2 linked regions of the Lonchura striata genome follow. The protein of the gene in region 1 interacts with the protein of each later gene in a biochemical or structural test. Links are inferred from orthologs where the notes say so. Each region holds a gene or a part of one and is shown in the gene's direction. Other genes may lie near its edges.

Region 1 (15,789 bases):
TATTTTAAGATATGAAGTATAAATATATACTTACGAGTGCATATTTGAAGATAGTTAGCTGATAAGGATTGTTTCTTTTGCTTTTATTGTAGAGTACCTCTGGCAACATTTCCCTCTACTGCTGCAATATTTATGATTTGTCCAGGTAGGAATACTCATAGTGTTTTACAATTCTCCATAATCAAATATGTATTCATACTGTCCAATGCTATTATTTTATTTGAATCAGGCAAAGATTTGTCAGGTCCTCTTAAGCAAACTCATATTAATTTGTATGAGAAATTTGAATGGCTAATCTCCAACAAAAGTCTAGTTCCATTGTTAATCATTAAGGATGACAACTAATTATCTTTAAGGGGGCTTCTTATTCCAAGCCATTCTGTGAAAGTTATCAAAAAGCATTTTTGCTTTTACAGTAAAACCAAATTATCTTTAACATTACTGATGAATTCTATGAAGCAAAACTTTAACACAACCCCTTACTCAGAGTAACTTAGTAAAGAGATAATAAGGTTTTGGTGACTTTTTTGTGTTTGTTTGCTCTTCTTACAAACAACTGTCAGGCACAAGAATTTGTGCCATGGCTCTTCAGTAGGAAGGAGGAAAAGTCTGGGATTTCCAGAACTAGTACATACAAGTGCAATAGGTAGTTCAGGACACCAGAACACAGAGTTTACTATATGATCTTCTTTTTTTTTTTTTTTTTTTCAATCTGCCAAAACACTTGAAGAAAAGACTATGTATTACTAGAGTCCAGGGTCTTTCAGACAGTAGACCATGATTGTGCCTCCTGCTGCTGCAGCTGACTCCAGTCTGTTTGACTGGTGCATATATGTAACTAGTCTTGTAAAGTGTCCAACAGAAGGGGTGTGTATGAATGTGATTTTGTAGCTACTGCCTGGTTTCTTACCTGCCTTGTCTCTCCAGTGTAGTTACTTGTTACTCTGTAGGTACTTTTAATCTTTCTTGCTGTGAGTTGACAAGTTGCCCAATGATTGCTTAAGCTTCCCAGAAATTTTTGAAAAACTCAGTCATAAGTTTTGTAGCAAGTAGTGTGGTGAAACTTGTAACTTCTATCACAACATGGTGCAATAATACATTGAAATTAAAAAAAAATAGGTAGTTAGTGACAATTTCAGTGCATATCACTGGATCCAGTACATAGTTTGTCATCACAAAATAAATTGGCGGATAGACATTCTGGATGCAGAATGAACTGTATTCCCAACATCAGTCAGCAGATACCTGTGACTAGAAAAATGCACACACTTCTAGTTTCTGTGTACAGACAATTTGATTAATTACACAGTAATTATGGAAATTAAACTTATTTCTCTCTTGCTGAGGCAGGTCCCTTTCATCTCCTAGCATTCATTAGAAGAAAACTCAAATGTGCTCCTGACCTTTGTCAGAATGGGACATTTCAAAGACTCTTGGTAGTTAAAGAGTAACAGGAATTACTGCTCTTTCTGGGAATTCTGGGACATATGTAAAATAGTTATATTACACAATCACTGTACCTCCTAATACAATTATGGCTACAAGACTTCAAAAGAAAATCAAAAATTGCATTTACTGAAACTACTAAACATATGCAGAGATAGAAATTCACAAGTTTCCTCTTAAATTTAGTGGGTTTTCTGCAATATGTGAATTTCTGATTTACATGTTAGATTTTTCTCTATATGTAGTAGTACCTAACCCATGCTGAATGCTGTATAAACACATAGCAGCATGTTATAGTGAAAGCTCTTCCTCACACCTTATCTTCATCCTGACTCCAAATCAGGATGAAAGACAGCTGTGTGCCTTTTTTGACTGTTTCCTCATGGCTTCATTGTGTTGTGAAGGAAATTGGATGTCCAGAGGTACAGGGAGCACCCAGACACTCAGCAGGTCCTGAGATCTGGGCAGCTAAGAGACCAGGACTGGGACAAGGCCACAGCATGAGCCTTCCTGCAGCCTGGGATGTCTGTAGGCCGTGATGAAATTGCTTGGGAGTAAAGCACATGAAATGCATGTTTGGAGCCACTGCTGCCATTCCAGTTTGACCAGATTAAAGTTGGAAAGAAAAACCAAGTGCAGAAAACCTCAATGGCTTGCCTGAGGTCACTCAGCAGACTCAGCTACACAGAGAAGTGCCTCCAAGCCTCAGAAGATCAAGATTGTCACCTACCCCATGAAACTCTCCTTTGTGCCCTGTATGCCCATTGCTCATTTAACTGTCTCTAAAAATCTCTTTTCAGTTGCAAGGCTGGTTATTTAAATTAGATGCTTAGGCTTGGCAAACTTTAAAAGAAGTCAGCACTTGAAAGTTTTATCATGTCTCATCGCAGTAGAGTGGAAATACAAGTTCAGCTTGTAGGTTAGATGCCAGAGGCTTAGCAATGTCATTGCAATGAAAATAGCACTGGGCAGAGAGAAGTTCTCATGGCTTAACTCTGGCTAAGGTGGTGGAACTAAGAACCGCACAGCTGCTTGCCCACTCTCCCATCGTCTCATGACAGGGGACAATCAAAAGGGTAAAAGTAAGAAAGAAACGTGTGGAGATGAAAACAGATTAATAATTAAAAATAAATTTCAAGAGGTTGTAAGGAAAAAAATTACACAAAAAAGAACAACCAAAGAAAGAGAAAAATAAAACCCAAGAAAAACAAGTAGTGCAAATGACAGCAGTTGCCCACCACCAACCAAGCAACTGATGCCAAGCCAGCAGCCAAGCAGTGCTTCCATCCACCAACCTCCCACACAGTTTTATTGCTGAAAATGGAGCCAGATGGTCTGGAATATCCCTTTGCTCAGCTGGGGTCAGCTGTGCCTGCTGCGTTCCCACCCAGTGTCTCATTCATTCTTGTGGTCTCCAGCCTACTCACTGGTGTCAGGGTGGGAGGAGCAGAAAAGGTGCTTTGTAAGTGCTGCTCTGCAATAACTGAATTGCCAGTGTGTTACCAACATGATTTCAAGCCGAAATCCACCAACCCATGGAAGCTACTGTGAAGAAAGGTAACTCTACCCTAGCCAAAACCTGTACAGAAATGAAGACAGATGTGATTCAATTGGACTCGGACACCTGCCCAGTAGGCAGAAGGGTATTGCACAATTCCATGCCACATTTTTCTAAGTAAACTTATTCAAATTTTCTTTTAAATGACACAATTTACTTTATTACTACCTTACTGTCTAACCTCCGATTTTAATAATACCAAAACCAAGGCTCTTTCTTATTCCCAGATACTCTTTTGTGTTGCTCTGGCTGCTCTTACCATCCATTAATAAAGGCATTTCTTGATAGTCTTGCTCACTTGCAGGCTTTGGGTAGCCACTGAAGCCATCTGCCAGCATATCCAGGACCAAAACTAGTGTCTGCAGCAGAGTTGCACTGAGGCAAGCAGCAGTGTAACTTAGCTTTCTAGCATTAAATAAATTGCAAGCTGAAGCTTACTGTCCTGGGCATGTAGCTGGGAATTCAGGTGGCTAAAGTTACTGAATGTGCTGAGTCAATGACAGTAAAAAAACAAGACACCTTCCTTAGCCTGCATATGAAATCATGCATGGGTTTTAGAAGATGGTCAAGAGCTGTTGATGTACTGAAGGCATGTTAGACAGAAGGATGTGGCTACTGAACACCCAGACTTGTAGCCCAAATGTGTTAAAACTACATTCCTTCCTCCCTGCTGTGTCTCAGCAGCCCCTAACAATGGGCCAGCAGTGACCTATTCACACACCTCTTCACTACCCCACACCTCTTTGCAGCAGGACAAAGAATCAGGAGGGTTTCTTGACTTCAGTATCCTGTTGGCTTGGATTATGAAAATGCTGCACCATAACAAAAAGGTGGTGGGGAATCTGCATCACTAGCTGCAGAATCCTTGTGACCTCACAAAAGTGCCTGAAAGAAGATGAAGGTCCCTTTTTACTGTTTTTAAGCCTTTTCCTTATCTCCTTATAGTTCAATAGTTGGCAAGTTTGATGGGGTTTGGGACAGAGGAGCTCTTGTAGCCGTGAATCCATGTGACAGACAACGGTTAGTAAATTGCATTGTTACTGTCTTTTCTCTGATGTATCAGTAACAAGTTTTTGATCCTGTGACTTGTTAATGAGTCCTTTTTCATTTAAAGGACCAACCTTCACAATTCTTCTCTACCTGCTTCTTCTACCTTCCTCTTCTCTGCTGCAGTTGCAGAGTCTTGTCCTCTTCCTTCAGGAAGCCACCCTGCCTCTTGGTGGGAAAATATGTGGTTTGTTCCAACTGAGCAGAAGCAGGACTGCAAGCCTCATCTGAATTCTATTATTTCCTTTTCACCACATCTGCTTCTTCTGTCTTTGTTCTTTTCCCCCTCACTCTCCTTGATTACAAATTTTTGTTCTTGTCTATAGCCAGCCCAAATTTAGTTTGAACCTGCTCCCAGTATTTTTTAATTAGATATAGAATCTTCAATTCACAATATTTTTAAAAGATAAGTACTGTACTGTGTACTATATTCTAGACTGTGGCAGATGAATACATTGCTTGTCTGTTAATCTTGAGTCGAATTTGCAAAAAAAGATAAATAATCATGAGGAATAAATATAACCTTTATTTTATGTTTTTCATGTGTAGCATGACTTTTATGCTCCTAAAATTTAAACTAAGTTTTGCTTAGTCTCTGTGCAGTTTAGTTAAAATTCTGTCTGCATAGAAATAAATGCATTTTATTGAATATTTTGAATGCTATGCTTGAATTCTTTACAAAAATAATAAAGTCTATTTTTTTCCTTTTAGCTATGCCAGTTTGATGATCAACCTAGTGGAGAAAAATTCTTCTTATCTCCTCGTTACAGTTTCATATGATCCAAACAAACACAAAGGTGAGAACTTTGTACTGTTTATATTGTGGTTTTCCTCTAATACAAATTGTATAAAGATATAGTAGATGTATTAGTATCTTCCCCAAGATTTTTAGCTGCATAGCTTTGTTAGAGGTGACACCAGTATAACTGTGTGTTAAAAAGTTTTGATTTTGATCAAGCTTAGGACTAAATTTGTGTTTTCTCTAGCATTCAGACATGCTAAAGTTAAGTTGAGGACAGTCATGGTATGTTAACAATGAAATGAAACTGCAAATGTGGCTGCTACAATGAAGCTGGAAGTCAGAGCACTTAGTAACATCCTGTCTGGCCTCAGGAGCTTGAAACACTCCCAAGAATATCAGTTTCATGCTGTTTATCCAGTATTTGCAACCCAATGTGTTGCCCATCTCGTGTGTCTCTCTCAGCCACTACCATGCTCTGAATGTACTTGGAAAAGGTGAAAATCTGTAAAATCATAGGGTACTTTTCCTTTTATCGTTTTTGTATTATGTATGAAGTAGGAGATTTTTTTAGTTAATATTAACTCACAAAAGAAAGAGATCTTTTTCTGCTTTTGGGTACTTCAGCATAATTATCCCCCCAAAAAATAGGTCTTGCTATCACAAGCAAGAACAGTTTAATTCATTACTTTCCCTCTGACAATGTTCAGCTCTTAGCCTTAATCATGCCACTGTAGTATAAAGAGATTGTAAACTGAATTCATACAGCACAGAGAGTGATCATATCCATGTCACATTCATGATTCCCTGCTGCAGATGGAGATGAAGCAGCAGCAACACCTGAAGCTGTCTGGCCCACCAAGGTGCCATGAGTTTCTGGTCATGTTTTCTGGCTCCTGCTGATGGAGCTACACCCTGGGGCCCCATTACAGGCCAGGTGCTGTGAGTGAAGGGGTTGGCTCTCCTACTGCAGTGTAAATTTTGTCTTCTTCCCACATCTCCTCTCTTTCCTTTCAGGGCCACCGTTTTATGTTCCTGAATCTGAAATTAAAAGTTTGTTTGGTGAGTAAAATTTCACCTAACCCTTAGGAACTTTTTTCAAAACGCATAAAGATGTTTATGTGCCTTTACCTTGCCCTGTGATGAATGATAAAGTCATTTGCTTCTTATCTAAAGGCTAGAGTCATGCAAAAATACTGGGAAAAATAAATATGATTTAGCCACAGAGATTTTGCTGTCATGGAAAATTCTCAGTTCTTCAAAAGATAAGAAGAACACCCAAGAGTCAAAGAGTTTCTTGTCTCCCTTTGGCACCTTTTTATTCTCCCAGGATTCATAATACACTCAGTAATCCTGTAGCTGCAATCTTAGAGTCCTGTTTGATCATTCTCACTTTGCCTGAACCTCATCAACCAGTTGCCCTGGTTTTAATACAAGTCCTACCACTACTACAGTTTCTACTGTACTTTTGTGACAAAGAAGAAAAGTAACGGTACTCAAAGAAAATGCTAGAAATGTACAACTCAAATCCATCAAAATAATGAAATTTGGAGCTATGTCAGGAATTTAATTTTAGGAGTTCCTCCTGATGTGCTGTAATATCTCGCTTTTAAATTTACAACTTTCTGAGACTCTGGCAGTGTTTGTGCAGTGAGTCATTGGCATAGACAGTTGCATCCCAGTGCAAAAGAGATCAATTAAGTTTTCCTCATTTATGTCACTGTGTTAGGCACTGTGGAGAAATCTGTGGATAAGTTTTGGGGTTTTATCTGGACAATTTGCATTTTTCATTGACTAATCATTCACTAATTTGTTATTCTTGCCTCCTTTTCAGGCAACTGCTGTGAAATTAAGTGTCTTGAAAAAGTTGATGACTTCTCAGAGAAGCACAGACAATGGGGACTAGATTATTTTCTGGAGGTGCTATATCTATTAAAGTTTGTAGCTTGATTAAAATTTATTAAAATAACTTGCCTCCCACCTTGCTTTTTCTTGTATCTCACATTTTAAAATCGGGCATTCTTAAAGCAGGAGTTTTGTGCATTTTGCTTACCAATTCAGCTCTCCTACACATCTACCTTTACTACCTTGAGATGTGAACAGCTTTTCTTAAACTCCATGCACAAACAGCCACTACCAAAGCATACCTTTTTCTTCCAAATCATGGGAGCTGTGAGAAAGAAATGTTCCTGTTCATTTTCAGCCATTGCTGGTCAATGTTGTCTGCCTGGCACTCTGCAACTCAGCCTCATCAGCCGGCAGCCCTGGGAGTGTGGCAGCTGCAGTTCAAACACTGTTTTATGGGACACTGCACCAGGCTGGGCAGAGAGAAGTGGGAAGCTGCTGCAAGTTGCTTCTCTCTATCCCTGTGAATATATGTCAAGTGAAGGGCTGGCAGTGAGTGGGAAAGGCAAGGTAGCAGCTTCCAATTACCATCCAGCAAGAAAAGCTGGAGGGACATAGACTGGATGACAGGGAGAGGGGAGAGTATTGGTGGAAAATGTCCTGGCAGTTGCTCACAAGTGTCCTGCTCCCTCATTAGAAAGTGCAGCTATGGGCAAGCAAACTAACACGACTTGGGTAAGAGGGTTCAAGGAGTGCTGAGAGAGCTGCAAATGTTATTGCTAAACCATTCTCCATCATAGCTGAAAGGTTACAGAGTGCGGGAGGGGTGCCTGAGGACTGGAGGAACACCAATGTCACTCCAGTCTTGAAAAAGTGCAAGAAAGAGGAGCTAGGAAACTGTAGGCCAGTCAATCTCACCTTCATCCTTGGAACAACCCATCCTGGATGTCATCTCTAAGCAAGTGGAGGAAAAGAAGGTTATCAGGTATAGTCAACATGGATTCAACTGGGGAAACAGTCCAGGTTAGTGGCCAGTGAGGTAGATTGAGAACTGTCTGAGTGGCAGAGCTCAGTGTTGTAATCAGGCTAGTTGGAGGGCTTTAGCAAGCAGTGTTCCCAGGGGTCAGTACTGGGTCCAGTTTTGTTCACCTTATTAATCAGTGACGTGAATGAAGGGACAGAGGGTACCTGCAGTAAGTTTGATCATGATATAAAATTAGGGGGAGTGGGTGACACAGCACAGTGCTCTGCAGCCATGCTGCAAGACCTGGCCAGGCACAGGAGCCAGGCAGAGAGGAACCTAATGAAGTTGAGAGAAGGCAAGTGCAGGGTCCTGCATCTGGGGAAGAAAAACCCAGGGCACCAGCACAGGCTGGGGGCTGACCTGGTGGAAAGCAGCTCTGTGGAGAGGGACCTGGGAGTCCTGATGGTCAACAAGTTAGCCAGCAGTGTGCCCTTGTGGCCAAAAAGGCCAGTGACATCCTGGGGTGCATTAGGAAGAGTGTTGTCAACAGGTCGAGGGTGGTGATCCTGCCTTTCTACTCAGCCCTGGTGAGGCCACATCTGGGGTGCTGTGTCGAGTTCAGGGCTCCTCAGTACAAGAGAAATCTCAACATGGAGTAGGTCCAGCAGAGGACTATAAAGATGGCTGGGGGACTGGAGCATATTGCTTATGAGGAAAGGCTGAGAGAGGCATTGTTAATCCTGGAGAGGAGGCAACTGAGAAGTGACCATCAGTCCTTTATCTTTAAGGGCAGTTGACAAAAGGATGGGACAAGACTTTTCAGTAGTGCCCAGAGATGGAGAAAGGAGCAAAAGGCACAAACTGAAACACAGGAAGTTCCATCTCAATACAAGAAGTATTTGAAGTTGACAGAGCACAGTGACTTCTCCCCTTCGCAGCTTATTTTGAAAGGAAAGGTATGATTGCAATGCAGTGTATCATTCATCAAGAATAGAAGGCAAGTACAAGCCATGGGGCTTTTTAGAGTGCCATAGTCCTAGAGCTGCAAATGGGTCTGCTGGTCTTAGCACAGCAGTCCCCATGCCCACAGCTCATTGGAACACTCAATATTGCTCGTAGATACTTGTGTTTTGAGGCTAGGTTGATGGAGACAAGAAAGGTGTAGCCAATGGGCCAGTGCAAGCTGGGAGCTGCTGGTTTTGTTTGTTTTCACTCCTGGCCAGTACTGCAGCTACCAGGTTAAAGCATCTCCTTCCTTTCAAGTTTTTTTCGGATGCAACATGAGAGCTCCTGAAGTTTATCTCAGACTTTGAGATATGTGATAGCTGCAAAGGGCCAGGCGCTTGGCACGAGGCTGCCACATGCTCTGTGGTGTCCTGCACAGGACTCCCAGGCATGCAACAGCCTGGCAAGAGCAACGCCATATGCCAAAATAGCCATTTTAGGATGTGTAAAATCTGTGTGTACCCTGCAACTACTCTGAAAATACCCTGTAAATACACCTAGCAGAAGGAGCACATGTTGTCCATGCACCTTACAGAAATGTATGTATGTACCTGAGAAATGTGTCTACTAGTGATGAATGTAAATATTTTCAAAATTTTGCCAGAACAGCAGGAAAATCCAATGAAACCAAGATGCTCAGCGAAATGGAGTACATCTCCTACGCAGACAGACTAAGAGAGTTGGGATTGTTCAGCCTGGAGAAGGCTCTGTGGAGACCTTAGAGCAGCCTTCCGTTACCTGAAGGGCCTGCAGGAGAACTGGAGACTTTTCACAAGGGCATGTAGTGACAGGACAAGGGGAAATCTGACAGAGGATAGGTTTAGGTGATATATTAACAATAAATTCCTTAGCGCAAGGGTGATGAGACTGGAACAGATTGCCCACAGAAGGTGCAGAACTCTTCATCCCTGGAAGAGCTCACGGCCAGGCTGGATGGGGCTTTGAGCAACCTGGTCTATTCTGGTCATCCCTGCCCATGGGAGGGGCATTGGAACTAGATAATCATCAAGGTCCATGATTCTGTGAAATTGTGGCTTAATTCCTTACCCTGGCAGGGACATTAGGAGAAGTAGGGGTACGGTAACTTGATGACGGGACGTCTGTAAGAATCTGGTGGCTGTGTGAATATTCTGGTGGGTTTTGGATGCACTGGCGGATGCACGCGCGGCGCGCACACGGCCGCTCCGCGCTCCCGGCGGGAAGGGCGGCCCGGGCCCTGCTCCGCCCCCGCTGGCCCGCAGGGGGCGCGCGGCCGCCTCAGCGCGCTCCGCGCCCGCCCCGCTGGGCCCGGGGCCGCCGGGGCCGCCGCGGGGGCTCCGGTGGCTCTCCTGCGGCGGGGATGGCGGCGGAGGACGAGGCGGAGCTGAGCCTGCTGGAGTGCCGGGTGTGCTTCGAGCCGTACGGCCCCGACGGACAGCGGCGGCCGCTCAACCTGCCCTGCGGGCACGTCCTCTGCCGGGGCTGCGTGGGGGCCCTGGCCGGCGCCGAGCGCCAGCGGCTGGAGTGTCCCTTCTGCCGGCGGCTCTGGGGCCCCGCCGAGACCAGCGACTGCCTCCCGCTGCTGCAGCTGCTGGAGCTGCTGCGCCCCGCCGGCCGCGGCCTCGCCTCGGCCCTGGGCGGCGGCGGCGGAGGGGCGGCGGCCCCCGCGGGGCTCGGGCTGCGGCTGTGCCTGGGGGGCTGGGGGTCGCTGGTGAACCCCACCGGCGTGGCGGCCTGCCCCGGGCCGGGCGGCCTGGCAGTGGCACACGACGGCAAGAAGAGGATCCACGTCTTCGGGCCGAGCGGGTTCTGCCTGCGGCGGTTCGGGGAGCGGGGGGGCGCGAGCAACGACATCAAGTATCCGCTGGATGTGACGGTCACGTCGGACGGGCACGTGGTGGTCACCGACGGCGGGGACTGCTCCGTGAAGGCTTTCGATTCTGAGGGAAGGGGAGTCCTGGCTGTCCGGGAAGGCTTCCGTCTGCCCTGGGGCTTGGATGCCTCCCCCAGGAGCGAAGTAATCCTGACCGACTCGGAAGCAGGCGCGCTGTACCGCCTGGCGGCCGACTTCCAAAGGGGGGAATTAAAGAAGTGCCAGATGATCCGGTCCCAGCTTGTCAGCCCCAGAGCGGTCGCAGTCTGCCCCACCTCGGGTGCTGTCGTGGTGATAGAGCACCTGAGACCTCGGGGACCGAGCAAGGGCAGCACCCGAGTGACCATACTCAGTGCGGAGATGGATCTCATCGGCCAGGTGGACAGCTTCGGTCTGAACCTCGTTTTCCCCTCCAGAATATATGCCACGGCTGTGGCCTTTGACAGAGAAGGTCGTGTTATAGTAACGGATGTTTGTAGCCAGGCTGTCATATGCTTGGGAAAACCTGAGGAATTTCCCATCTTTAATCCTCTAATTAGCCACGGGCTTGCTTATCCCGTTGGACTGACTTACACGGCAGACGATTCCCTCGTCGTTTTAGACAGCGGTGATCATTCAGTGAAAGTATATAGCTCTACCTGAGTGGGCTTAGATGCGTACTGCTGCAGGCTCAAGCTGCTTCTGTTCATACAGCATGCGGAGTTCTGGAGTTTGTAGGAGTGGAGGGAGGAGGAGGTGTTGGGGCTTTGAGTGAAATCACCCTCTGACCAACACGCTGTGCTTCCTGCAAAACTTGTGTCACATCTCTTGCCTACCTGTGGGAGAGGACTTGGCTGTTGCTGCCTGTAGTCAACAACAAATGAACCAAACAAATCACTTAGCATTTTAAAACTATTCTATGCCTTGACAACCAAGTTGTTTTGGTTCCTTTTGACACATAATCAAAGATCAGCACGTGTGAAAGTAATGCGTCATTTATTTACATTTCCCAGCACATAATTATCACTATTCTTAATTAAGTATAGATACACTCCTGACAGAACTGTTTCCAGGAATTGTGCACAAGGAAGGAGATCACCTTGACAGAATGATAGGACAATTGGAAGTCTCCATTCAAGATTGCCTAAATCCAACTAAAATCTTTGTGATGGAGGAACTACCATGGGAAGTTAAATCATGTTCAAAGTCTACTGTTTCCAGGAAGATGCATTTCTGGGGGCACTCTTTTCTCTGCCAGATTATTCTCACCTTTATTAAGGTTGTACTGGAGCACTTTTTTTTTCCTAAAAAATGCCCAAGTCTGTAATGTTATCTGGAGACAATCTGGTGTGTGGTTACACAGCGTGGGCTGCTTTGCCTAAAAGCCTCTTGAAGCCAGGATTAGACCACAAATACTCCTGCATATGTAAGTTTGAGTTGGCTCTGCTGCTAACACGGCTACATGTAGGAGGTTTTCAGCACTGCCTGCCCCTGTTTTGTCATTAATATGGTGCTTTTGCGCTCCCCAACCCCAGGATTCAATTGCAAATTGAAATGTTAGTGAGAGGTAGGCCTCGTTTTTTTTCATAGCTTCCAAATTCGATTTTGTTGATTGTGAACACACAAGAGATTTATATCAGTTTATATTTTCTTGTGTTAATCACAGTAATATTATACTCTTACTTGTATTCTCACAGTTTTACTGTAGACACAAGTCCTTCTGCCTTTTCCATAGTGGAAATTATGGCATCTATGACTTATTTTGAGGAGGATTTAATACACCCACTAGAAGTCACTGCTGCATTTTTAGGAATTTGCGTGCTGCTAAAATGATTACTTACATGGTTCAGCATTAAAATTAAGTTAGATGTAAATGCTATCTGAGGTAGAGATGAGTAGGTTAAAATGGCATAAAACTTTAGGGGTAATTTCTTTTTTTAAGTAATTGAAATCGTTAATATTAACTAATGTAATTTGAAATTCACAGACATCTATCAGTAAATTTTTTGTCTGGCTTTTGGTCTGACTTCAGGGCATTTAATAACTGCATGTGTTACAGCACCAGTGATTTACCAAATACTTGCACTAAATTGGAGCAGTTTAGCTCTCTAATTCAACCAATATGTTAATCTGTCTCATGTCAACATTTAAACAAAACAAAACATGTCAAACAAAACAAATCTGTTAATTGCAGCTATTTGTAAGGGTTAATTGAACAGTAAATAAAGTGTGATTTGCTTACTTCTATATTTTAATAATTTAGTGATAATTCCTCATATCTTTTCATCAGGTGTTTCCTTGTTACAACACCATTTCTGCATTGCAGTTGGCCTGTAGATGGTTTCTTCTTCTGTTTGGTGATATCCTATAGAAGTTGTTGTAGGGCCATTTTTTGCTATTGAAAATTATATGGATGTGCACAGTCTGTATTTTGCAGCCTTCTCTACTGCCTGGCCAGACAGCAAATGCCTTTGGAAGAACCAGAAATCCTCCTTGCTTGTTCTGCAGTACGAGCGGTATGGCCCTGAGCAGGAGCCCAATTGGGAAGTCAGGAAGGAAATTTATTCAGAGGAGGAGACCCCTGGATTATATATTCCTTTCTAGATGCCAAGGAGACGCCTGCCTTTGATAGAATCAATTAGATAACTCTTCCTTTGGGAGACTGCTGTGTGTCAAAATGCATGCAATGCCCTCAATGCTGTATTCATACATAATTAATACTTTGTCACGGTAACACTTCCTCTGAACCATAGGCTGTGAGCTTTTATCTTCTCAAACCTTTGTGTGCACCAGGAGCTTATTTTTGCTACTAAATTCATGGATGGGAAAATTTCCTAGGACCTATTGCCATGTAGGCAACTTTCCAGCAGTTGAAATACAGATTTTTAAGCATTTGACTCATACTGTTTTAAAATCTACAAAAACTCCCATTATTGCCCATTCTGTTCCTTACTCATTTGGTTAATTAGAAATCACTTAATTTTTTGATTTGTAAGCAAAATAAACTTTCGGACTTTATTCTACCTCATAGAATTTTTTTTTTACTTTGTGCCATCTCCTGCAGTCTCTGCTTTACCTACCTACTGAAAGCAAATGTAGACTACTTCTGTGAACAATGCAACTGTTTTCTTTCTAATCTACAACTTGGTGCTTACTGTTGTACCACACTGCATCAAAGGAACCATTACATTCTGTCTGAATTATTTTGATGTAGGTGCCTAAATTGAGAAGCCATAATGAACTGTATTTGTATATAAAAACAAAATATTAAAAATTTCAAGTTCTTTGGTGCTTAAGGAAAAATGCAGCAGTAAAGCTGAAATCTTTCTTTTGACACAAAATCTTGTGTTCTGAGAGAGGGATGGCAAATCATGGAAGGCCCATGCTTGAACTGATTCCTTAGGTTTGGGGTTTGACTGGCTGTGCTTGGAATGGGGATAGCTAGATGTATGCTTACCTTTGGAAAAGAGTGGTAGCCATTCCATTTAGAAAGGAACATAGGACTGTGTCTAGATGCTTCAGTGACAATTTTTAAAAATTAGTGTTGAGTTTATTTTTTTTAACTCCATCGCCTTTGCATAACTTTCTGCACCTCATGCTCTAGCCATTGGATTAAAACCAAATAAATATAATGGACAGTCTTCCTTTAGTGTCATGTCTTCAGCCCCTAGTAGAGATTTCTATGTCTGTTGTATACACACACACACACACACACACACACACACACACACACACTACAATTCCTATTTGGTTTATTTTTAAGCACTGATCTCAGGTTGCATATAAAAATATCAAGGGTATGTTTACAGTGTTAAGGAATTAAAGGAGTCAGAGGAGTTTCAGAAATGCATATTGAGATGATGTTCTGTAACACATATTTTTTATTTTGCTTGTGAAGAGAATTATTTTAGATAAAGAATATATTTTTTTCAGATTGATGAATAAGGGAAAAAGCTGAAAAAAAAGTAAAATTTATTTCAATTTGGCCATTGTCCATTTGAGCACCTGTCTATTCCCTCCAGTCACATTGCTGTACACATCAGTTTGATCTTTATGTTTTCCCAAAGCATGTATGTAACATCACTGTAGTATTTTTTAATATGGACTGATTTCAGGGAAAAAGCAATGTCCAGCCCCCAAACTACTAAGGATGTTATACAGCAGGTCCATCAAGATGATAGCCTATAATATAGGAGACCTTTCAATTCTGGAAGGGTTGATGGAGGTCAAAAAGCAGATTTCTTCCCTAGGACCATGGGTCACAGTGCTGTTGCACCTCACACACGAGGAATTTCTTTTCTTTTCCTTCTATTCAGCGTTTGGGGGTTTTTTTCCTGACTCTGCTCAGAGGCTCATCTTACAGTTTACATGTCACCTGTGAGTCACAGCTTGCCTCTACAGGAGCAAAGCAAAAATACAGATATTTTTCACTCTTCAATCGGGCATCTTAGGAGAACTGCCAGATCATTCAGGAGAACAGCAAGCACTTCTTTGATAGTGTTACATAAACATCCAGACTTTCTCTTAAAGTGCCTCCTTCGTGTAACATGCCTGACTCTCCTGGACAGCTTCAAAGCTCTCTGATACTGGAGAGGTTCTCAGGGAGCAGATGATGCATTGCACTTACACCTTTTTCTCACTATTGCTTTCCAAGAGATTTACAGATATTCCTGAACTTGGCACTCCAACCTCTCTGTGAGGCAAATACAGTACAAATGTCTTGGCCCTGCAGCTGCAGACAAGAGAGCTCAGAATCAAGGGAAGCCTTTGGCAGACTTCAGGCTAGATCTTAGAGTTCCCATTAGAAGGTTACCTTAATAAAGCAGGGAGAGTCTGTGTTTAATCACTGTCTTGTCTGGGAGGTGCCTTCCTGATTTTTGAAGAAGTTTTGACACTATACTGATGATCTTGTTACTAATTCCTTTGGTGTTTCCTACAAATCATGGGAATTAATACTTTTCCAAACCGCAATGTATTCCTAGATAATTGCTTCCAGTATGCTCCACAAAAGTGTGTGGTTTTGAAATGCTCAAATTTCACATTAAGGATAGAAAGGAGGGGATCAACTCTGAAAAGGAGAAAAAATTAATGGAAGGTGTCTGTGGCTTAAGCAGAGGGTGAACTCCACCAAGTCAGAGAACAGAGCACACCCATCATTCCAGTAAAGGGAATGCATTCTTAAGAGGTGAAGCATTTCAGCCTGGAAAATGGACAAGATGATAAGAGCTGTTGCCTTTTGATTAGTATTTACCTCTGGCAGAGGAATGACCTGCATATGAACAGATTTTCCAGCTACAATTAGACACTTTTCAGATGGCAATCCTTAGGAGAGCTATCAGTTACTTGTAGCTTTA
Region 2 (15,908 bases), on another chromosome or scaffold:
AGCTTATATGTTACACATATTCACGGCATAGACATTTGTACATGTTCACATACTGTCATGACAACACTGTTACTAAATTCACATTAAGAAGTGTTTGTGGGAAAATGAGAGGATTCATTTGACTTTCATGCAGTTTCCAGGATGTTCTGATCTAGGTCACATGGGTTGCTGCTTAAAATATGTCTCAGTTCTTAACCAAAGTACTAACTTTCCAGGTCTGAAATAACCCCTTCTAGGTAATAGTGTGCCATTCATCCACTGCCGTGAAACAATTCAGTAGCTTTCCCTTTTATAGGTCTCTAGTAGAAGACTTGTCCCTAAAGAAAAGGCATATTTGCAATAATTTCTGAATGGCAGAGAACTACAGTTTTCAAAAAAAAATGTATGTAGTACCCAAATCAAGTTGATGAAGCTTAATAGTTCCTTTTATCTTTTGAGCTGATTGTGAGCTTTACTGAAATCCACAGAGCTTTGCAAAAAACATGGCTGAGGGAAGCGGTAGAAAAAGGATCAGTCTCTCTTGGTGTCTGCGTATTTCAGACAGGGAAGAGCTTCTTTGCAATATTTCCTTTTTCCTTAATTTCTGTAGTTTTCTTGGCACTGTTCAAAAAATAATAATACCCCATTGGCTGTTCCTACTGAGTCACTTAATCCACAGTCATACTAGTGTAAATTATGTATCTAAAAGATCATTTTGCATAGCTTTATAAACAGCAATTTTATTTTCATAAAGTCTTAAGTTAAAACTTCCACCTCTGTTAAATACCATGGCTTAAAATAGATGGTCTGAAAGCAGAGAAGATTAAATATATGTTTCCAGAGGTATATAATCCTTTATGTGGTAATAAAGTCAAAGGAGGGTGTGGATTTATCTGTTACCTCTCAAAAACTTTTAGCTTTTGACTTCCAAAAAAAGAATGGTTTTGCTAGTCACTTTGAATCTTTCTGCTAGCAAATGAAGGCACTGACATTCAGTGCTTTTTATTTCATACTTTTTAAATACGAAGAGAGGAAAACCTACTTTGTGACGTTTAGTGTTTAACACAGTTGGAGAACCTCATTTGAGTAAGATTGGTTTAACTTTCCCTACAAAGGTCTGGAGACCAAAATTATATGAATGCTCGTTTGTCTCTCCTTAAAAATATTAAAAGGAAAAGCATTAGAAGGTAGATATAACTGAGTTGCTGCAAAACAATATGCTACCTTGGTGCAGTTCCTTTTGGAGGCAATTAACGATGGGCTCAGCTCTTGCAGTGTTAGATCTAAAAACGTCTAAGTCTCATGCTGGTTTGGCATAGGATCCTTCTGGAATCAAATATTGATGTTGCTGTGCTGCAGATGGTTGTTTAGTACAGATGTGGATAGGTCTGTGTTTGCCACCTCTCCTGCAGTACTTGGCTTTGAGCATGCTGTAGCAAGGATTGTTCCACTGGTCACACATGGCAACAGGCTTGATTTTTTTTTTTTTTTTTTTTCATTGATGCTAGTAACTTGCCAGACTGTTAACTTCCAACCCACAGGAGGATGGCTGATAGAGACAAACAAGTATCTGCAGTGACTAAAGGAGCATGGAGATCAGCATGCAAATATTAAATGTGTCTTTTGTGTTCATAATCACTCTTTAGAAATAGTGTTGAAGAAAGCACTGTCAATTAGTTTAGCTTGTTTTATATTGATAGAATTTATGTACTTTGAAAGCAGTGTGTGTACAGCTGAAAGCAAAGTAGTTCAGAAAGCAAAGGTAAGACAAATGCTCTGTTATACTTGGAACCCACAGTCAGTACCTCACATAATACACTTGTATTCTGGTGAGGAGGAACTGTGCAATAATACTGGTCAAATTCACCACACCAGAAGTGATACTTTGAGAATTTCTGATTATGAAAGCAACAGATTGAATTATTGCACCACAGTCTTTGCAAAATGCTGAAGGATAGTTTGTTTGATGTGTCATTTAATGCAGTTCAGGGTAGTGAATGCTAACAATATCATTGATCATAAAGGTATTTTATTTGCATATTCATACTTACATAAGTGAAAATGCAGAGCTTAATTGTTGCTTTCAGTTTAAATCACTTAAAATGTGGATGCTTCCAAAGGAAATCTAATAGTGGCACATCAAGTGCTTCACTGTGCTGCTGCCCCTGTCAATCCAGACTGGCCATCATGCCAGCTAACAGCTCTATTAGCTTTGCCTTTTCCTCCTTACAAATATTTTAGCCAGTGGGATAGCTGTATTTGGTAATATATTTAAATTACTCATAAATATGTGCAGTGTAATAAACCTCTTCTTTGAATAAGATTATGTTCTTGAGAACTTGGAACATGATATGCTACTACATGCTACAAAGAACTGTTGGTTGGCTGAAGTTTGCATGGAACTAGTTCCAACAATCCCTATATAAATGTATTTTTAAAGACTCCCATTTCATTGTTTTATGGTCAGGAGCCTAAAAAGTGAGAGATCAGATCAAGATTTATTCTACAAGTTTCACAGACATGAAATTTGCTATCAAGCAAAAACTAATTCTGATAATTTAAGAAAATAATTCCACTTACCTGGAATTTGAGGTAATGAGTGTAATACTTGAGAATTATGCATTTTTGCCCAAATTAATTTTGCCTGGTATTAATATATGAATCTGTTATCTTTTCTATTTAGATTTATCTCAGAATAGAAAAGGCATTTGGCAACAATATTTTATATAGCACTAAGCCTTAATGATCTTAGCTTGAGAACTTATGCTTATGGAAAAGTGCAGATTAGTTAATGTATAAAAGTAAACCAATAAGGAATCTCTAAAAATTAGATCTCAGTGCTATTTTTCAGTAAATTTAAAACCACTTTAGAGGGCTTAGGTATAAGAAGTTTTGAACAGCTTGAATTATAGTTGAATACAGTAAGAATAAAAAGTAAGCACCAAGAAGGATAATGTAATTTGAAAATTCAAGTGTTCTTATAGCTGTTCAAGACAATGTATGTGTAATTCAAGTGTAATTCTACACATAGAATATTTGAAGTGTGCGCTGTACTTCCAAGGCTGTTGTAATACTGTTGATTAAGATGATGGATCTGGTTTTGGACTGATCTTCCATATCCATTATTCTTTCAAACAGGTGAAGAAAAACCAAGTGATCATCTGCTGACTTAGGGGCCAAGTACAGCTCAAGTGTGGTTTCTGTGGCATTACCTTGAGGTGATGCCACAGAAATACCTTTCTGTGCCATTACCTTGAGGCCATGCTAATGAGGAGGCATCTGTGTGAGAGCTTGAGCTCAAGTGGAAACAGGTTACTATGGTACACAGCAACATACACATACCAAATTAAGTAACAGGAGTCCCCTGTCTATGATCTAGTCTGCAAAGTATGCTATACACATCTCCTGGTTCTTGGCTGCAAGCTGTTGCCATGGCCGGTGGAAGGTTGCTAAGTTGCAGACTGTTTACACTCTCATTCTAGACTGCAATTCCTATTTCCAAGAGTTTCTTTATATCTGGGTGAACATAGTGTTTGTTTCTTAGCAAAGATTATTTGTGTGCCAGGTAAGTGAATTTAGGGAAGCTTGCCAAAACAGCCAAAATAAAAATTCTTTTAAATAAAGAGATGTGCAGTGAAAAATTTGGTCAACACGTGAAACCAGAAAGATAAGCAGCAATGCATTGTATTGATGCAGTGATACAGCAACAGATTCATATATTAAAAAAAAGAGAGTAAGGTATTCTATATGCTGTTATATACACTTGAGCATTAAATCTCTGTTTTATTAGATTTACTGGTGATATAACTGCTTCTTTTTTATATGTTGTGGAGCTGTTGGGTATGGATCAGGATGCTTTCTCTTCTTTTTAAATTTTTTTTCTTTTAATTTCTGCTGCCACTTTTCCTAGGCCTTAAATATCATGTATTGATCTAAATATAACTTCTGGATTTGTATTTTGATCCAGTTTCTGTCTAAGAAAAAGGCTTTAAGATGTTTTTACTTTTTTAATATAACTGGAAAAATAAATTGATTGGTAGGGTCAGTCATCAGTAAGTTTGATTTGTTGTACTATGTGAAGCATATAATAACCACTGAGACTTGTATACTTAAATGAACAATCATTTCTATAATTTCTGTTTCCTTTTGTGATACTGGTCCATGGCTTTAAGGATAATATCCTTCAGTTTGCTTAATTTTTTAAAAAACAAGTAAAGGGAAACCTTTACTGTTCCAAACAGCTTTTGTTCCAAAGCTCTTTAATCATTATGCAGTAAATGCACAGTAACTTAAGTTACTTAATAGTAATTTAAGTAATTAGTAAATTACCTAAAATCTAGTCATAACTTAAGTAATTAGTAAATTACCTAAAATCTAGTCAGATTTGTCAGCAAGACTTCCAATTTTTTGGCTGTTTATTAAATTCCAATCAATTTTGGAGCTAGAAGCCTATTGCTTAAGCACAAATTGAGAAGGAAGTTCTCTTGTCAAACTTCCTTTCCCATGGTTGCTTTTCTCACCTTTTACTCCACATCTAATGCTGTGTGTGACTTCCTGAAATGTTGCTGGTCATACATAAAACAATTGCAATTAAAAGGTCTGCATAATGAAAAATAAACAATTAAATTTTTCTTAAAATGGCCACAGGAGTATAATATACAGGAACTTTCTATCAATCAGTAATTTGCTGGGGATCCCAAGAACACTCAAGCCTGGCACAGGTACAGAGGGTGTATTATTAGGATCAATGAGCACTGGCTTTTGAAAGTGGAAGGATTATTTAAGTCTCCCCAGAAAAAAGGCAGGCACATTGTTCTACTTAAAACTTAATAGCACATAAGTTTTGGGTCAGATTGCATTCTCCTAACTAATGAAATAAAGTTTTGCTATTCCGTACAATCAAGTATTTGTTTTTACACTGTCTTGTTTCCAAACAGCTGAAACATTTCTTTTTTCCCTTAAGTAGACATTTTAATTAGAAACCTGATATAACATTGGTGGAAATAGGCTGGTTTAAAAAATGAAGTTTACAATGAGTTAATATTGTAATGATTACTGCTACATACTGTTTTTCACTCAAGAAGCTCCAGGTACTTGGATCTCTGAGTAAGCACTTGGCCTCTCTCATCCCTTTGTGCCGGGCAGAAGGGCCATGTTCCTGCTAGGGCTACCAGAACTCTGGGCTGGTTTGGGTCACAGCATCCCAGTGCAAATGTACCACAGATGATGTGGAGCATCCCTCCAAAAACTATGGCTCATTCTGGGCAGGAAAGGAGCCATGTGCTGGACTAGTCTGCAATATTTGTTCATTTCTGGACATTGGTGAGGCTGCTAGGACATCCTAAAAGGGCCTCATGCTGAAATATGTTGGAACTTTTTCCAGCTCCCAAGGCATATGAGGCTGGGGAGGATGCAGACAGCTTAACTGGATGTTGAAAAAAGAAACCTACCAGATCAGTTATTCCTGTATGTATTTCTGTAGTGTTTACTGTAATGTTATTGCATATTTATACTGCCAAGTTACTTCTAAAAACAACAACCTGTTTAAAAAATATGCTACACAAACCCCCATGCAAAAGTGGAAACCATCTCCTTTAGTGTCCTATCTATTGTTGCAGAAAATTTTTCCAACACAATTCCTGAAATGGTCATTCCTGACAGAACTTCTGTAGTTAAGTCTGCATAAAAGTTTGCTCCTAGCAATAAGCAGCTAAAATGGATCATGCAGTTATCAGTGCTCTGACACAGCTCTAAACTAAAAATTATGGATAGCAGTGCTTATCTGTTAACAAGTTCTTTAATCTTAGTCTTCTTTCAGTCTTCAGTCTATAAAGGTATTTATTAGCTGCTGTATTGTCAAATTAGAAATATTGGTGAGAGCATTAGTTCATAGTTCTATCAGAATTGATAAGAGAAGGACAGTTAGAATTCAATTAGAAGGTCTGGGTCTGTCGATTGAGTAGTTTAGAATACTTAACTTTTACTTAAACCAGTGGTCTTAAATTATTTGCACTAGAATAAGGTTTCTTTTATATTTAGCACAATCTCTTTGAAGAAATACAGGCTGTCTAAATTTTTCAGCAATGAATATTTTACCCAAATCATTAATACATCTAAATCAGCTTATCACATAATATAAATGTTTGCCTTTTTACAAGCAAGACTGTGTGCCATGTGCTGCTTTTCTCTTTTCTATAATTAGCAGAAACATTTGGGAATTGCAATAACACTTTCTCTGTATCTTTACAAGAAAGAAAATGACCTAAAAAGGGAAGAAAGGCAAGTCTAGGAAGGAGCACTGCTAATCTAAACATCACCCACAACTTGCAATCAGGAATACTCCCTCCCTTCTCCAACCAAATATTTCTGTATTTGTGTTTTGTTTCTGTTATTCAAGCTCTCTCTCTTCACTACAGATTTCCCTACTTGGAAATACCATCTTAGATCACTGTACAGCAATAACAGATAAAGCTGTTCCAAGCTGCAACTGGGCTATGGGGCAAAAGTTTGGAATTGCTAAAAGAAGAACACTTATACTGCAGACACAGGCTACCCCAGCATGGAACTATTAACTTCAGCTGTCATTTTAGTAGTATTCACATTGATCAGATAACTGTGTGCTGTCTCTATACCTAGTAGACACTTTGCAGATAAGAAAACTGTGAAGAAAAATATGACTTTCCACTTGGAAAGCTGAATTTTGAACTGGAGTATGCTGTCAAACTTCTCAACTACTGTCTTCACTAAAATTTCGGCCAGCAATACTTTGCACAATTTTTTTGGGATGTAACAAATGGTTTAAAACTCTTGGGTTCACAAAAATATCATGACAATTTTATTTCTGAAAGAGACACCATAAGAAATTTGACTTCTGCAGAATGTTAGAACTGTGATTCTGCAAATGTTTAGTGCACAGCAAGTGAAAATGCCTTTAAATGTGTTTTACATGTCTGCAAATGAAGTCACATTTCTGGACATTCAGCCTTCTCCGTAGAATCCTTTCAGATACAGCCGTTAGGCAGAAACCTGAAGGCATAACTGATGGTTGGTTGATGTTAAGTTGGTACACAGCCTCGGTGAGTCCTCCTGTGTGATCCCCACTACCTGCACAAATTTTGGATAATAAGCCAGCTAATTAGCTAGAAATTACACAAGGCTACTATGTATTGGTACAATTTAGGTGAACTCCACAAAGCAAGTCATTCTTGCAGAAACTGATCTCTCAAGTCCCTTCTTGCACACTAATGCTGTGTAAAAATAGGCTGTCCTTTTTTTTTCATATAATTCTTCCCTTTTTGCCAGTTAGAAACAACTTTAGCAAATGCCTCGGATGGTAGCAGAAACAATAAACTGAAGGCTTTTAAATAAACTTGGCATTAAGCCTCACTGTGTTGCTAGCTCACTGTTTGATTTGAGGTCAGTCGGGGCTTCCATTCAGCAAGTGGCTGCTGTAAGTATATTGAGAGATCCTAAACAGCTGTGAGAGGCACAAATGCACAGCATTTATGATTGCAATGCAAACAGACCCCTAAGATGGTAGCTTGTTCCCACAGGAATCAATGAGTGACAGTAGTTTTTGTGACAATTAAAAACAGCTTAACTATTGGGGTTTTGCCCCTTTGTGCCAAAGCTTTTTGATGGGAATTGTAAGGCTTGCCAAGTTGGAAGGAAGACTTACTATAGTGGAAAAAAAAAAAAAAAAGGAAATAGTCATGTTTAATTTGTGGTTGTAAAAGATGACTGGATTATCATGAAAGCTTTTAGGTTTCAGAATAGTGTTAAGAACTAGGGGAAGAGCACTGGCCAGGCAGTACTAGAATAACAGGTCATTTTGGCAAAGGAAACTATTGTTAATTCCTTAAGAGGCTTAGGGTGACACTTGAAACTAAATTTAGGGTTATGGCAGTGGCTCAACTGTGGAAGTACTTCATCAACTCCTTCAATCCCAAATACTAACAGTAAGTGGAACTCCTCCCTACCTCCTCTGCCTTTACTCCAGCTGAAATTCCAGTTTAGAAGATGACAAATCATAGACCATGCAAATCTAACAGGGGAAAAAACATACATTTGCAAAAACAAACTTCACAGTACCTTTAGCTCCTCAGTCTCAGATCTAATGCTAATAAATTTTATCCTGTCTACAGCCCCCATTCAGCCTGCAATTTCACCAATATAAACTGCTCTTCTGTTCCCACTATACCCAGCCATGGGATGTCCCAAACCAATCTACATTTCTAGTTTTTATCTCAGTCTTGCAGGATCCATCAGTAGATCCAGTTTTTCAGCCCTTCCTGTTGATCTCTCAACCTAACCCTTATCTGCACTAGGGCTTTTGAGGAAACGTCAGGAAATCAAGCTGGCCACTTTCTGTCATCTTTAACACACAATATTGAGTGGCACAAAATGGATTAAGGCAGATCCCGGAGAAGAAATTGACTAAATTAATTTTAAAGATACTACTTGGCACATCAGAGTCTACAGAACAATTTTTTATTGTTCCACAAGGCTTACAGGTCTAAGATGAGGACTCAATATTTACAGGCACAAAGCAGTTCAGTCTTGTCCAAAGATGGATGTTGCTGGTCTCTCTTTACACTGGGGCTTAGACAACAGCCAGGAACTAAACTGTCAATCAGATGCCCTATTGAATCCTGCAGTTTTTAAGCTGTGACTGGAATGAACAGAAGCATATGGTTTTGTGTAGACACAATATGCTGAGGTGGTTTTAGGACTCCTGTCATGCTTGATCTTTAGGATAAAACCCCAGAATTCTTACATTCTGTCTCGTGCTGCTAAAATGGGGGTGTATGGTAAAGAGTTAGATATTTGAAATTATGAGACAGGGTATGGGTAGCTCAACTGTAAGGTTGAGAAAAAAAAATTAAAATGTGCTGCACTGTTCCACAAAAGCAGCAGTGCTACAGTAAAGCCAGCAGAAATGGAGGACAGTGAGAATTTCATTTGTTTTGGTTATGTCTGGAAAAGTGGTAGAATATCACTTACACAAGTTCAATGAGTATCAGTGAAAATTGGCTAAAGCACTCTTAAAAATAAATTTGGCAGCACATACACTTCAGTGTCATCACCCCTGCATAAAGGAAACAAACAGCCATCTCTTGAGGCAGGATTTCTTTTGACTCATTGAAAGGCCTTCATCCTGTTCCCAGAACCTGACCTAAATAAAGTTACCATTTCTCTTTTTCTGTCCTTAAAAGCTTCTGAAATGGGTGTATTCAAGCAGGGACCGCCCATTAAATGGCTGGATTGCATCCTCTTCCTCAGTCTTTTTAAGTCCTTAGTATTGCTACGCGTAGGAGTTGCCAAATTTTCCCCTTCTGGCCGTAAACAGAACTCGTGCAGCGAACTCCAGATTTCTTTAAAAGCTTTCTAACCTCCCTCAGCACTTCACATTTATTTTCTCACCATGACTGGCTGGCTGTCAGCGGGAAAGACATAAACATCATGAACACTACAGCGTTATTTGCAGCCAGTCCTTGTTCGTAGCTGCAAGTACGGCAATTTTCAATGATGTCTTTGCTGCGCTAAATTAAGCCTGAGTTCTTGGCAGTAATTGCAATGGCTTCCTTTAACGCAGCAATAATCCTTGTTACAGTCACCATACGTGACGCGTAGCCTTTGGCAACCAGGAGAGCCAGTGTTTAGCTGCGGAGGGGATTTTCCATCCCCACTTTAGGAGGCGATTGAGGCTCGGTGTTGCTCAACTCCCCTTCGGAGGGGAAGATCCCCGGCAGCGTGCGTGCGGCAGCCGAGCGCCCGAAACAAGCGGGAGCAGCCCCGGCCGAAGGAGGCACCTCTCGGGCTCCGCAAGGGCAGGGCCGGTGGCCGGGGCAGCGTCCGGGCCAGGGGCGGTCTCCGGGCCGGTGTCCGACCCCCAGCCCCGGCGGAAGGGCGGGCCCGGGCGGCCTGCCAGCGGCGGCTGTGCAATAGCAGAGCTCCCGGTTAAGCGCCGTTCTTTGTGTACGATGCTGTTCCGCTTCGGCGTGGTGCTGCCCGGCCGGGTGACGGAGGGCGGCGCGGAGCTGCTGGTGGCCGGGTCGCGGCCGGAGCTGGGCGAGTGGGACCCGCGGCGCGCCGTGCCCATGAGGCGGGCGCGGCCGAGCGCCCCGCTGCCCGCCCAGGAGCCCGCGCTGTGGCTGGCCGAGGTGGCGCTGCCGGACGAGGACGCCGCCAGCCCCTTCTGGTACAAGTTCCTGCGGCGGGAGGGCGGCCACTTCCTCTGGGAAGGTAACGGAGGGACCCCCTGGCCGTGCCCGGCCCCGCCGGGAGGGGCGGTGCGGCTCTGAGCACCGCTGCGGCGCCGTCCGCCCGCTCCCGCCGCTCCCTGTCCCCGGAGCCGCCGGTGCACGTAGAGCCGCCCAGGCTGTCGCGGCTCTCGTGACGTGGGTGCTCGCAAACACAAGTGTTTTTTGGCTGTGTGATGGAGGCGGGTAAATACAGGAGGCTGTCTTTATAGGTTGGTAAAAGTTACTTGAAACAGTTTCATTCCCCCCACCCCCTTGCTTTAGGCATCCATTGTCATGAAGTTTTGTTTCTTCCTCAGAAGTGAAGAATTTAGGATCTCCTAGTATTCACTATGGTGTAGTTATTTCATTTCGCTAAGGTGATGTGTCATTATGGCATTTTCAGGCTGGTAAATTTTGCTATTTTGATTTCTTAAAGAAAAGCACAGGGAGAAGTTTAGTTACAGCTTTTCCAGTCTTCTTGCTGTTTCAGTAGTACTTCCACCGTGTTTTCCTCTTTCTGTGTGTTTTCAAATATTGAATAACTGGTCAGTTTCCATATGCTGTTTAGTATACTGAAGTATCTTAAATCCAAGGGAACACTGAGACAGTCGTTTCCTGAGTCAAATAAAACTCTAAATATACCTCCTGTAACTGAGGAATGGTCTGACCTAGTGAAAGGAAGATAGATCACTTGGTAATTTGTGAGGGTATTTTTTTAACTCATAGCATAATAATCCATGTACCAAAATAACACATTGTAGAGCAGTTGCTCTTCACCCATTTTAAGAATACATACCACATTTCTGAACTGCCTTTCTGTCATGTAGACTAAAACATGCATGTTGTCATAACTGTTGCATTTGTTTGTTCTTCATGCTAATAAAAGACTTCATGTAAATGCTACATTCACAGAAGTTTACATCATAAAGGACTATGTCCCTCATACAATAGTAATTGTTTTGTTTAGCAGCTAAAACAAATAGTATATTCTGCCTGTTTTAACCATGTTTTCTTTTCCAGAATTGCAGGAAAAGTGAATTTATGGAATAAAAATCTTTACATCTGTCCAAGGAAGCAGAATTGGGTCCCTTTGAAGGTGCCAAGTTGTACATAATATGACAGTGATACTGGTATATAAAGCAGTCCTCACCACACAGATTTTAGAAATAATAGTAGAAATAGAAATAATTAGAATTTCATAGAAATAATAGTGAATAATTAGAGAGAATCATCAATTTGAAGGTTGATGGTTATGTTCTGGTTTGGAAGTAGTGGTAGCTCAAATTGTTGTCTATTCAGGGAGCACGTTTAGGAAATGTAGTCAGAGTAATAAACATACTTTGATTTGGCAGATTTGCAGTTTTAGGATTAACCTGGCTGGCATTTTGTTCTTGTCATTGTGAATGCTCAGGAGTTTGAGCTCAGTGGTTACCAGGAACGATAGAAAGCAAGTGGGCACATCGTCTAAATGCAGAATAATTTTTTAATTAGTCATTAATATCAACAGTTTTTTCCTCAATTGATATTTACATGAAAGTACAAATTTGCTTAAACCTTGAAATTTATTTTTCTTGCTTTATTGCATGAAGGAAGCCTAGGGAAATTTTCTTATCCAATAACTGAGCAATCTTGCCATTCTTTTTAATCTGTTTTAGTGTTTTTTGGTTTTTGGGGTTTTTTAACTGTGATCAATGAAAATTTGTCTGTCATCTGTTTATTCTTGTAAAACCCAGAGCTTGAAAAGACAACTCTCTTCTTAAAAAAAGAACAGGTGTTTTTTTGTGCTGAACAAATGCTGTGCATTGTCTCTTTAGTATCCTGTGTGTTTAGAATTAAAATGGGCTTTGGGAAACACTTAGCTCTTGCAGAACATCTGCAGTTTTGAAGACATGTTTGTGAGGGATAGAGGAAAGTGCAGAATGATACTTGCTCTAAGTTTATGAGTTGAGGCATCCATCTGTAACCAGAGAAACTGTAGTCCATGGATGTCAGTCTGATTAGGGGTGTCAGATGTTTACATATATTGGATGTTGAAATCATGTGCTGTATTTAAGAAAATTACTTCATCTTTTTTACTAAGACACATACGTGTGTGAGAATTCCACTGGCAGTGCATATTGTTTTTGTGATAGTACGATACCTATGTATCATCTGTTTTGAGTACAAATTTCAGCCATTCCAATACAGTGGGGAAGACTGAAAGATAAAAGTGGAGGTAGTTATTTATGTGGGCTAGAAGAGTCAAAGTCACAGGCCAGTGTTCTATGGCTTTTGGTAGGAAGCTTTCAGGCAAGGCTTGGCCTGTGCAAGATTCACTGGGTTGTTGCATGTGCCTTGAGGGAACAAGTTCCCCTCCCTAGGAGGACAAAGTGGGAGGTGAGACTCCCCTGTGCTCCTGAAGATACTTGCTTCTGCTGTCCCAGGGAGATGTTGCTGGTCTGCACACAGGACCTGTCACTTAAAGCCATTGAGTGTTTCTGGCTCAGGTCACATGAGCTGTGTGGGGTTTCTTCAGGATTGGTACTTGCTTACCTACTGTGAAAGCTGAAGCCTGCTATCCAGGAGGGTTTGTGATATGCTGTCTCTTTGTATATGCTGTCGAAACAGGTTGGTTATGCTGAGCTTTAGAATCTGGGAATTAGAAAAAAAGCTAAATTCATGTATGTACCTTTTTCTCCCCCAAGTGCACCTGTGTCTGTGTACTTTGTTTTTTGTGTTGATTCTTCAAAACTGGACTTAACATCTCTCAGCTTGGAAACTAAAAGTATTTTGTGTCTGCTGTCAAAACTAAATAAATACAAGATGAAACTTATGCTTGAGTTTGTTTTTGTGAGTTTATGATGGAAGACTCATCTGTGCCTTTATCCCCATACTTTCATCTAAATAAACTGTAGGAACTAATAAAGAAACATGCTGCATAAAAGGACAGGGAATTTGTTAGAGGTATGCCCCAAACTGTATTTTGAGAGGATGGAATACAGTCTGCTGACACTTTGTATTTTTGGGAAGGGAAAAAATAAATTATATAGAAAACCTACATAAGCCTGTAGTACATACACAAGCTTGTACTGTTAAATATTGCCCCTTTGTTGCCCAGAGAAATTGTGGATGCCCCTTCCTTGAAGTGTTGAAGGCCAGCTTGTATGGGGCCCAGAGCAACCTGGTCTACTGAAACGTGTCTCTGCCTGGGGAACTGGGTGATCTTTAAGGCTACTTCCAACCCAAACCATTTTGTTATTCTGTGATTTTTGTGTAGCTCTTAATTTAGATGGTGGAGTTGGAGCTTGCCAGATCCAGTATTACCAGTGAAAGTTCCAAAGCACAGTCAGCCTATATTCTAGTAATTTGTTCAGGTGAGCAGAGCCTTAATTCTTACAGAAAACCTCCATCTCTAGTTTTGGGGAGGGAGGAGGAGAGAAAAGATGTCTTGTTTGCAAGACAAATGATACAATACAGTACAATTTAAATACAATTATGTTACTCAGCCTGTAGTATGTTGGCCTTCCAACATTTCCAGTTCACACTTCTGTGAGCCTATTTGTATAAACCAAAAGACTGGTAGAGTTTTGGAGTAATAAAGGTTTTCACATCACTGTAGTACAACCAGTGAAAATATCAGAAATAAATTCTGATCATAGGATTGAGCACCTGATTAGTTGAAAACATCAGTGATGGTTAAGCATATTAAAATTTGACTTTTAAAGTGTTTGAAGCTTGAAGCAATCAGACTTTTGGCTTCAGCTCTGGATAAAAAAGCTGTAATATCTTCATTAAAAGGAGGGGATTCTTCTGAGGCTTTATGAGAAGGTAAGATCTAGTTGCCATTTGCAATGGAGAGATTCTAATGGAATGAAAAATATTTGGGGCTAAGCTGCAAAATAAAATTTTTGAAGCCATTCTAAGAAGTACAGTTGGATACCATGTTAATTTCTGTAACTGAGATCCATTAATTTTCCCTTTCTTTTTTTCCTCCAAAGCTAATCTACAGATCCCGAAAATAGGTAGCAGTTCCATTATTAAAAACAAACAAACCTGAATTAAAAAAATAAAATTAAAAAGACAGCAAACCTTGAAGAGTTACGTTTCTTTATGGCTCTTTTAATGCAGATGTTTCATGTAGTGCTCTTCCCACTGGGTGGTGCCATATTCCCTGTGTATAGCCAGCGCCTGCCTAGCATCTTGCAGCTACTTGCATGTTTCATTAGTATTTTGTGTAATCTATTAGGCTCTTGAAAATAATCCAGAATTTTACTTATTTTCCCAAATCCCAGTTCTGAAGTAGGTGGTGACTAGAAATGAACATAAAATACAAGTTATGTGATAGTTGAATAATTGTGCATCATAAAGCATTTTGTTCCTGCAAGGCTCTTGCTTTCTGGACAGCACTAGATACCTTAACATCTTTCAGATGTGACAAAACTTAACGAGTGGATAACTTTGAATTCTTCAACCCAATACTTCTTTAAGGAATGGAAAAAAAGCTTTGGTTACAATGTAGCTCACAGTAGCTCACTGTGTTTTGTTCTTCAACCCCCACAAGGCTTATACATAGCATGCATTTTGGTGCAATAAAATGGCATCAAGATTCTCATTACTTTCTATCTGCTTATCAGCATTAGCCAGTTTATACTGAGCAGGCAACCAGACATCAGTAAAAAAAATGTAGAATGGCCACGTGAAACTGGAAAATTACAAGAATAAAAATAAATGCATATACTTGCATTCTTCTGCATTTGGCAGGTGTGGATCTTTTCCTACCCACAAAGATAATCAGGGGCCAGTTCTGATTTCTGTGCGAGTCTAATTAAAGCCTTTGTGGTTATAATGGCAAATTTACAATAAATGCTATTTTTATGCAAATCCTATATTTACCATTTTTCCTGTCCCTCACTTCCAAATGGAAGGTGGGCTCAACAACTTATTTTGAATGGAAAGAAACACTGAGAAGTGATAAGTAATTGGGATGATACTTTGGTCGAAGTATTGCCATGGTTGCTATTTTGATGTAGCTCATTTCCTGCCTATTCTGGTATGGTAGAAAGTAACAATTAGTAGTAGACAGTACAGTAAACAGTGTCAGAACAAACAAGATGATGGTATTAGATTATACATTTTGTTGTTATTAACCATTATTCTCTCATTTGTATTTCCTGTAGTGTTATTTCTACCATCTGCCAGAAAAGAAATTGTCTTATACATGAGGAAAATTTACTTTTAGATGCTTTTCTCTGACTTCATCATTAAACCAGGCATTTGGTTAAAATCTCTTGGTACAATAGAAGTTCCTACTGAAAAACACCTGGGCCTGAGCAGACCTACAGAGAGAAATAAAACATATTTTTGAAAGTTGACTTTGAAAATTCTGATTTTCTTATATCTGATTAAAAAAATAAAAAGAAAAAAAAGCCTTGGTGATGAACAGCATTAAGTATTAAGAATGACTTTCTTGTAAACCATTTAGTTTTCATTCAGGCATAATTTCAAAATGTAATTCCATCAAAGAATTTTCTTGGGTTATATAAATAAAAAGACTTAAATTCTGCCTGGATTTTAATAGAATTAGAACTTGTTTCCATGGTTCTGTGTAGCAGCTCTATCAAAAAGGAAGTCTGCTTTAAGTCTGAAAGAATATAAACATGTGGTGTATGATGCACATGATTTTCTTCTTTTTGGGTATCTCTTCTT

What was found.
Region 2: the proteins of NHLRC1 (region 1) and EPM2A form a complex in vitro, tested with the Homo sapiens proteins (3 studies listed by BioGRID, with this or other methods). The link is inferred for Lonchura striata from reciprocal best matches to the Homo sapiens genes NHLRC1 and EPM2A.

Annotation. Positions count from the first base shown.
Region 1 is NC_134603.1:88,838,175-88,853,963, forward strand, and holds NHLRC1 (E3 ubiquitin-protein ligase NHLRC1), read left to right. Parts: upstream 1-9,888; 5' UTR 9,889-9,943; coding exon 9,944-11,098; 3' UTR 11,099-14,076; downstream 14,077-15,789. Other genes in the region: TPMT (thiopurine S-methyltransferase), read left to right, coding at 93-145, 3,950-4,024, 4,763-4,848, 5,808-5,852, 6,625-6,740. UniProt on the Homo sapiens protein: E3 ubiquitin-protein ligase. Together with the phosphatase EPM2A/laforin, appears to be involved in the clearance of toxic polyglucosan and protein aggregates via multiple pathways.
Region 2 is NC_134605.1:49,433,310-49,449,217, forward strand, and holds the start of EPM2A (laforin), read left to right. Parts: upstream 1-9,901; 5' UTR 9,902-9,962; coding exon 9,963-10,224; intron 10,225-10,307; exon of another isoform or gene 10,308-10,453; intron 10,454-15,908. UniProt on the Homo sapiens protein: Plays an important role in preventing glycogen hyperphosphorylation and the formation of insoluble aggregates, via its activity as glycogen phosphatase, and by promoting the ubiquitination of proteins involved in glycogen metabolism via its interaction with the E3 ubiquitin ligase NHLRC1/malin.